3 linked regions of the Kluyveromyces lactis genome follow. The protein of the gene in region 1 binds, or shares a complex with, the protein of each later gene. Links are inferred from orthologs where the notes say so. Each region holds a gene or a part of one and is shown in the gene's direction. Other genes may lie near its edges.

The links. Proteins that work in one complex are often made in the same cells at the same time.
Region 2: MRPS5 (region 1) and MRPS17 share a complex: the UniProt entries of both Saccharomyces cerevisiae proteins name them as parts of the mitochondrial small ribosomal subunit. The link is inferred for Kluyveromyces lactis from reciprocal best matches to the Saccharomyces cerevisiae genes MRPS5 and MRPS17.
Region 3: MRPS5 (region 1) and RSM26 share a complex: the UniProt entries of both Saccharomyces cerevisiae proteins name them as parts of the mitochondrial small ribosomal subunit. The link is inferred for Kluyveromyces lactis from reciprocal best matches to the Saccharomyces cerevisiae genes MRPS5 and RSM26.

Annotation. Positions count from the first base shown.
Region 1 is NC_006038.1:1,002,199-1,005,326, reverse strand, and holds MRPS5 (mitochondrial 37S ribosomal protein uS5m), read left to right. Parts: upstream 1-1,634; coding exon 1,635-2,519; downstream 2,520-3,128. Other genes in the region: cytochrome oxidase assembly protein SHY1, read left to right, coding at 2,900-3,128. UniProt on the Saccharomyces cerevisiae protein: Component of the mitochondrial ribosome (mitoribosome), a dedicated translation machinery responsible for the synthesis of mitochondrial genome-encoded proteins, including at least some of the essential transmembrane subunits of the mitochondrial respiratory chain.
Region 2 is NC_006040.1:1,091,031-1,093,688, forward strand, and holds MRPS17 (mitochondrial 37S ribosomal protein uS17m), read left to right. Parts: upstream 1-1,440; coding exon 1,441-2,139; downstream 2,140-2,658. Other genes in the region: KLLA0_D12760g (uncharacterized protein), read right to left, coding at 1-879; putative rhomboid protease RBD2, read right to left, coding at 2,339-2,658. UniProt on the Saccharomyces cerevisiae protein: Component of the mitochondrial ribosome (mitoribosome), a dedicated translation machinery responsible for the synthesis of mitochondrial genome-encoded proteins, including at least some of the essential transmembrane subunits of the mitochondrial respiratory chain.
Region 3 is NC_006041.1:118,060-121,092, forward strand, and holds RSM26 (mitochondrial 37S ribosomal protein mS42), read left to right. Parts: upstream 1-1,752; coding exon 1,753-2,514; downstream 2,515-3,033. Other genes in the region: putative DNA-dependent ATPase RAD55, read right to left, coding at 1-1,145. UniProt on the Saccharomyces cerevisiae protein: Component of the mitochondrial ribosome (mitoribosome), a dedicated translation machinery responsible for the synthesis of mitochondrial genome-encoded proteins, including at least some of the essential transmembrane subunits of the mitochondrial respiratory chain.

The DNA of each region.
Region 1 (3,128 bases):
AAACAGCGAAGAGCAGACAGCTTTGTTCAACGTCTGTTTGTCATTACAAAAAGTATATTCGCAACAAGTACTTCTCAAATCCGGCAGATAACACTGAAAAAAATACCTAGATAATAATATTCGGGTAACAATGAAAGTTTAAAGTGACGGAGAAGAGGAATGTGTAACGTTCTGGAATCGGAACGGTCATTTCTGGTATCTGTCGAGCATTTTATTTTTCATGCGAGGAAGAAGATCTGGCTAGAACCATTACTTCTTGTCAGAGAACGAAAACGCTGCATTAGAGAAAATATTAAGAGAATGCTACTGCACGTATTGGCAGGAAAAATAAGAGGAAAAGAAAACTTGCAAGGCCAGGTGGTTTCCTTTCTTACCATATGTATATCACTGCTGGGTAGCGTTAGTAAATGCATTAGTTTGTCAATCTACCTGCGGCATGGAATTTTCACATGACGCACAAGTAAATCACTATTGATGTCGCATTGCCACTAGGGATTGGTTCCAGAAAACATAACTTCTTCCGAATTGATTTCAGATTCTACCTCCATCCATGTGAACGAGTATTTCGTTCCAATATTTTTATATAAATTAACGAGTAACTTATATGGTAATCTTGTCAGATAAGTGGAGTTGATTTCATTTGGAAAGAGAACCAACAGGATTGGTATGTCTCATATGAATTTATTCTCGGACCAAAATTGAGAAAGAAAACATCTGCAGTTTTTCAAAAATTCAGGCATTTTGGGATTACTCTCTCTTCATGCAGGGCAAGACACCAGATCATCTTTATTCTATTGGTCTTCATGTTCCTGCATAACTAAATACTATTTGTATTTAGTTCATTATTTCCTGTAGATAAAGAATCTTTCTAAATGGGTTTTAAAACATAGTAAAATATATACCTAAAAGAAGAGTCTTCGTGATATGAATGTTTCATCTTTAAGGTACTGAAAGGATATGGTACTAATATTGATTCTAATGACAACAAAGCCCGTGTATAACATTGCCAGCTGAAACATGTTGCTCCACTATGTATCAGAAGAATATGTAGTGTTTTGAAAAAAGATCTTCTCTGGAAATTGTATATAGCGATACTAAACCACTAATATAGATGTTTTAGTGACCGGCTTTATTAAAGCAGGTAAGTCGTTGTTTAAGCGACAGAGCTCAATATTGGATGAAACAGACTCAGAAATGAAACAAAAAAACATGTTACCCGGATAGCATTCCATATGATAGTGTCATCTACCATGTAAGGGTAAAGATGCGTGGAACATACCTGAAACATACTCCATGTATCCTCCTTTGAACGTCTGAAGAAGATTTTAAAGATGTGCAACCACTGCTAATCTTACCATACCTTAGTGGGTGGATCTTCAGCTAAGAATTGTGAATTTCTAATCACATGATCAAGAATAATGCTCTCTCATTTGTAACGATTGATCGATTTTCAAAAATTAAAAAAATTTCAATAGTTAATACAGAATGGCAACATACTCAGACATATACACCAGAATAAGGTCTAATATAATTGACACCAGAAGTCTTTTGAAGCAGGTTTAGACAGGTCGAGGAGCAAAATTCAACATAGTGAGTTGCAGCGTCTTTCTCAATAACCCTGATCGTATTTGAGAATGTTCGTCCGTTGTTTCTCGAGCACTGCTCGTGTATTTCAACAAGACCTGTTGAAGAAATACTACTCTCCAGAACTACTCAAGTCTATTTCCTTAGCTGATAAAGTAATTCCTGACAATGTAGAGTTCAAACCACAGACAAATGTTGAATTCTCACCACCATATTTGGATAACTTTGCCACATTACATCCTTATTGGGATTATAAACCAAACTCTCCACATCTACATTCAAGCTCATCTTCGGTATTCGTTCAAGAGATGGAAAAGCATCCAGATTTGACTCCTCCTGTGGGTTCATACTTACAAACTGAAGGCAGATCAGATATACAAAACATTGCCAATAATATCCAACTACAGACGGGGTTCGATGCTCAACATATCGCCAGAAAACTAGTGATGAAACCATTGATCTTAAAGATGGTTTCTAATCAAACTGCAAAAGGTAAAATTCCATCCTTCTATTCTCTTGTGGTTGTTGGTGATAAGAATGGTATGGTAGGAATCGGTGAGGGTAAATCCCGTGAAGATATGGCAGAATCCATCAAGAAAGCTCATTGGGATGCAGTGAGGAACTTAAAAGAAGTGCCTAGATTTGAAAAAAGAACTATTTTTGAAGACATAGACTATAGATACCACGGTGTGAAACTATTCTTGAGAGCTGCTAAGCCAGGTTTCGGTCTAAGAGTCAATCACGTAATTTATGAAATTTGTGAATGTGCTGGTATCAAAGATTTAAGTGCAAAAGTTTACAAGAGTAGAAATATCATGAACATAGCCAAGGGTACTATAGACGCTATCACCAAGTCTCAAAAATCTATAGATGAAATTGCTCTAGGTAGAGGTAAGAAAATTGTGGATGTCAAGAAGGTATATTACTCTGCTTGATTTCAACCAACTCCATATTTAAATTACTTTCACTTTTTCTCCTATGAAGAAACTATCTGAACAACCTTCACATGATTCAATTACGACCTAGATGATCATTCTCATAAAACAATCAATACTCAGATCTACGTAACCTTGTACATATTAATATCCCCACAACGTCGGAGTTCCAAATTCTTCTTCACGTGACTTTTAGAATATTTCACACTTTTCTGATCTTTAAAAGATTGGAAAATGAAGATGATGAAAGCAGATGAGTAGTATATCTAATCGCGTATAAACATGATTAGAAAAGCTTTAACTTCTTTGCTGTTACTAATTGTTCAAACGCATTTCAATTCTTAGCGGAAGCTACTAGTATCACACAATTAGCAAAGCATATGTTTCGCTTCATTGTGGCTAGGCCATTCACTGTACCAAAGGTAAGGCCGGTAAGACGACTTTATAGCACGGTCAGGACATCGACTGTTGACTGGAAACCTATCAAAACAAAGAAGACACCTACTGAAGGATTTCAAAAGAAGGAATCACGATGGGGTAAGCGTATTTTTCTAGGACTGATGATTGCCATGCCCGTGATCTCGTTCTACTTAGGAACCTGGCAATTAA
Region 2 (2,658 bases), on another chromosome or scaffold:
TGCTGCTGCTCCACCACCGCTGGAGCCGCGTGAAGTCTCGTTCCCGTGATCGTACACGATGGTACTGTGTGCCAGTGATCTGAGGTCAAACACTCTGACGGATCCATCACCACCGCAGCTGGCAAACAACTGCGTCGATTGTGCCAAGAATTTCACGTCGAACACTTCGCTATCATGTGCAATCAATTGCGTCTTTACGTAGTTGGTAGAGTTCGAAAGATCCCATACGGTACACGTCGTGTCGATGCTACACGATAATAGTAGGTTAGGGGAGATGGGACTCCAATGGAACGATGTGACGGGTGGGAGTTGGCCCAACGTGACAGTATCCTTTTGAGACGCAGAACTAGGGTGTTTCCCGTATTTGTATAAAGAAAGGTTGATCTGTTCCTGTAAACTGCCATCCAACGACCATATCCTTAGGGAATCCGAGCATGTTGCTAGTCTTGTATTGTTTTGAGGCATCCATTGGATCCTGGATATAGGATAAACCACGTTAGCAACGTTGGTACATTCCCATGTAGAATAATCGTTCGATCCGTTGATGATCTCTATTCTATTGTAGGAATCTTCCTTATATGTCCCCAGGGCACATTGATCGTTCTGATTCCAAGAAAGCGCGAAAAGTGGAGCGCTGGACTGGTACTGACATGTCGTTACCGTTTTTAGCTTGTCCAATGTATAGTTACTATTCCCACTCCCCAGTCCCAACTGTTGCTGTTGCTGCTGTTGCTGCCCATGTTGTAACTGTTGAGAATGGCCTTGGTTTGGTCGCTGGTAGAAATTAACTCCGTTGTTCCCTACATTGTCTAACAGGTTCAGTTGCCTTTGATAGCTTCCAAATGAGATACTGGACCTTTTACTATTTCGATAATCCATGATTAATGGCTAGTTTTCCTTGAAAAATCTTTGAAATAGAAATCCTCTGTAATTTAAATGTATATCGCAGTGTTTTGATTGGTCTTTCTGGTATCGTAGACCCCTTCAAACCCCTTCTCTCGGTTAGTTTCGATATTTAAGGTCATGTGAAGATTCTAAAACAGACCAATCCTTTAATTTTTATGGCCAGAATGTTAAGCCGTTTGCCATTCTCAAGAGCAACAGGAACATGAAAAAGGGACATTTAGCGTCCCACATTGCCTTATAACATTCTAATCTACCCACGGACGTTTCAAACTGGGCCAAGTGTGCTAAGAAGTAGTTTAGTTCTATAAAACCCAAGACTAACCTCATACCTCCATATTCTTGGTGAAGAACTAAATCACGTGATCTATCATTAGAAACGGTGGTGATCTTTCCAACATCAAAAAATTTTAAAGCCTTGAGGCCATGAACGGTTAGGTCGATGCTGTTAAAAGAACAATAGAGCAGTCTAGTTAGCTCTGTGTCAATTGGTTCGTCGATACCACTATCCAAGAATAAATTAGCCCACCTTCAACCATGGCTCGTCAAAATTTTATTGGGATGGTCATCTCCCAAGGGAAGATGCAGAAGACTGTGAAAGTTCGTGTTGAGACCAAAGTTTTCGATAAGAGAATCAACAAAGAGTTGTTCCATAGGAAGGATTATTTGGTTCATGATGAATCTGAGGTTTCTCGTGAAGGGGATTTAGTACGTATTGAAGCTACGAGACCTTTGTCCAAGAGAAAGTTTTTTTCCGTTGCTGAAATTATCAGAAATAAAGGTCAACAATTTGCTTTATTCCAAGAACAGGCCAAGATCAACGTTGCCAGCGAGGAAAACGAGAAGACTAAGGCCTTTTTAGAAAGGAGAGAACGTAAACAGGGTGTGGAATCGACACTTTTGAATGATGTTCGTGTATTACAGAAGGCTTATACAGATGGTACCGAGGATTCTGCCGCAGTTAAAGAGATTAAGAGCCGTTACGGAATTGATAAGTTTAGTCCGGAATCCTTGAAGCAAATATTACAGTTGGATATTCTCAAGATTGAAACCCAAGTGAAACAACAGCAGCAGAAGATCGATGCTATTACAGAAAAATTGGCAGAGTATACCAAGAACGAATCCTTGGCTAATGAATTTTTACTATCGAAAGGTTTGGAGAATCCTCAACTGTTGAAGAAGAATATCAAGAAGAACATCTTGAGAAAGCACATACTCGAGGAACTCAACGTATGAGAGAAAAAGAGGAATGACAGAAAATAATTAAAAAGGATGTTTCCCTATGTATATAGAATGAATATAATTCTCCCCGCCGCATCGAAGTAACACGCATGTAAATATAATTATCAATATTTCAAAAGTTGGGTTTGAAGAAAAAGAAGAAGAACAGCAGATGATTTAAATCTCTAGTATCTAATTTCTGAGGATTCACATTTCAATTTCCCAAGACTCTTCCGTTTCCTTGAAATGTGGGCTCCGCTGGAGTATCCGTATTATGCAAGGGCAATCTGGATTCTGACCCCAGGTAAACGGAAGTATATTCAAGTGATCTGTCCACTTCAACTTCCCTATAGTACTTAATACCGAATGGGATCAGATTGATCAATGGATCGACCCATGTTTCAATTTTCTTCAATACAAAGCTTGGTGGAGTAATCTTGGCTACCCAATTCTCTTTCAACCCCATGAAGTATCCTAATAGTAACCCAATTGCATGACCTGGTAGACTAGAACCAGGCGCCAATAGAGCAGTAA
Region 3 (3,033 bases), on another chromosome or scaffold:
TGGATTGATTGCGAAGAGTTTGGTGTTACGGGCTGACTGTGACTTTGAACATCTAATAGCATACGGCTCGGACTTGGCTCCGTGTATAAAACCCGTCTTCTCTTGTTTGGGGGAAGCACCGGTGCTGCGGCTACTGCAGCAGCAGCAGCTGTCGCACTTGAGGAAGTGTTCGTAGGAAGAAGATTGTCAGTGACAGCAGTTGTTGGGTTTTCTGCGACTATAGTTGTGTGACAGCTATAAAAGTTCCCAGATTCATTAGTCTTAACCCAAACCAGTTTATTCTTCGAGCCCACTGGCTGTTGATGTTGTACAACAAACTGCCGTGATACCTCGGGGATGATTCTTTTCTGGGAGTTAGGATTCTGCTTTTGTTCTGCATCCCAATTCCAGAACACACCGATCCTGCATCGAAGAAACACCTCCCAACGGGCATCTTTACTTCCAACGGCTGCATTTGCTACTAATCCACTCTTCAACACTTGCACGTGACGTTTCCGTTGAGATTTCACGAGGAAATTGCTAAAGGAACCATCTGAGTGGGTTCCGTTGCTGGGATCGTTGTATGAGACAACTGCATCGTCTGAATAGTCCTGGTAACCTGTGTTCATAGCGTCATTAAGTAATACCACCACCGTATTGTTTGAAGTGGCGTATTTAGTTATGGTGACAAGCAATTGTATCAAACTTTTCACCTTGAAATCGTGCAAGGTCTGTCGATGGTTAGAATATCCACTGTTCTTCTCGTACATATGGAGATACTCTACCAAAAGCTGAGATAAACCATCGATTATTATGAGCCCGTACGTCTCTTTTAAATTCTGAAACATGTACCACAGTTGAGCAAATTTCTTCACTCTTGCGAATTGGCACCCTTTGAAATGGACTTCGTCCTCATCTCCTTGCTCTATAAGCTTCAGTGGTACTTGCTGGAACGTGTCAATCCACAGACATTTCATCCTATTCTGATTATTGTTCACTAATTGTACCGCGAACTTTGTCTTGCCAATTCCTGGAGGTCCGTAAACCTCGTAGATACTCTGTGGTTGGAATCCGTCATTCAATGAATCGTCTAAACTCTCAATGCCACTTCGTACATGATCTGCACGCGCTTGTATCAGTTGAGACAAAGGTACACCAAATGACATTAGAATGCTATCAACTAATCACCAAACGCGTCCACAGTTTCTCCTGGTTCTTCAAGCCTTTCAAGACTATGTATAACTAGCCTTTTAAATCCGCATAATTCACCTTTAGGTGTAACTAAAAAATGTCATCAAGTCCGTAGACAACTCAGCTCAATAATGTTTGTTTTATTTACCAGGTTTTTGCTGTGATTATGTTATTCAAAAATATAAAATAAGAAAAGATAAGAGGGAGTAATAATACTTGAATTTAATCATTGAAAGAATTGAAATTAAAAACTCGAAGGTTCTTCCCACGAATCTCCTTGTCTACCTCTTGTCGGATTATATCCTACGGGTGTATCTTATTTGGACTTTATTGATTATTAGTCTAGTTCATTAAGCTAGAGAAGATAATGAGTTCCGGGTAACATTTCAAATCTTAAAATTTTTCTTAGCATTCAACATTGCCGAACAGGAAAAATTGAAATCATTTCGACTTGTATCAATTCATGAATCTAAAATGCATAACTAGAAAGTCTACTATTTCTTGCTCAATGCATCCTATTTACATTCTTCCTAGAGTTTCGGAACGATTGATATAATTGAGGCAACTAACTAAAAATATTTAATGTCAATGTTTGGGCGTCAACTGTTCAGAGGAATACACACAGTTCCAAAGATACCTGGTATTTCACAACTTTTGGATTCAGGCATCCCTCATGTTATGAGCGCTAACACATTCAAAACTTGCTGGGTTGACCAGCAGCAGCTTTTGTGCGATAAGCTAACACTGGCATCTGCAGGAACTGCCGCAGAATCCTACTTGCCATTCCATTTAGTACTGCACACTGCGAAGAAATCATACCAAACAAACATTTTCAATTTGGCTAGTGCTTTGCACAATAACCATTTGTTCATAGAAAACATATTGCCTATGGAACAAGTTACACATCCATCTCGTGAGTTTCTACAGAAGCTAGAATCACAATATTCAATGACTTGGGATGCTTTTAAGGATGAAATGGTTAGACATGCAGAAGAAGATGTGTTAGGTCAAGGATGGCTATTCCTTGTGGAAAATGATGCCAAGGAACTTCACATCCTAACAGTTCAAAATAATGGTACTCCATACTACTTTGCTAGAAACCAATCTTTCGATTTGAACAGTGCTCTATCCTTAGAAGAAATGGAACAGTTTGTAACGATGAGAGATCTACTTGCCGCAAATGCAGACGTTAAAGATTGGACAATGCCTTTGATTGCGATCAGTTTGTGGGACCATTCATACTTGAATGATTACGGTATTAAGGGCAGATCCACTTACGTAAGGAAGTGTTTAGATAACTTGAACTGGTCTGCGGTTAACAACAGATTGTTCTCCACACAATAGGAGTATACCAGTACTTCCAATCATAAATAGACTGTTGGCTCTCTTTAAAATATGGGTCTTAATTACATGTACATAGTCACAAATGCAATATAACCGTTTGCGAATAGCTCACAATCCTCTCTCATTATTAGCGTATCTCTGGTTGATATAGGCAAGAGCGGATAAGGTACGGAAAACGGTATTCAACTAAAACTTCAACATCAAGTATAAAATACTTCCAAAACTCTGAGGAACTTGAGAACTCGTCCTTGTTAGCTCAGTTGGTAGAGCGTTCGGCTTTTAAGCATTGCTCGCAAGGAACCGAAATGTCAGGGGTTCGAGCCCCCTATGAGGAGTTCTTATTTTTTCGTATTTGCAATAACCATCATAATATTCACTGGCCGGGAATGTTAGGTTTAGTACATTCTGTTAAATAAAATTCCTAGTAGGAAATAGGCACCTGGCGATGGATAATCAACTCTGTGACTGCTAAAAGCCGCTTATCGCTAATCTTTTGTTTTTCTTTCTTTCTTGAAGTGT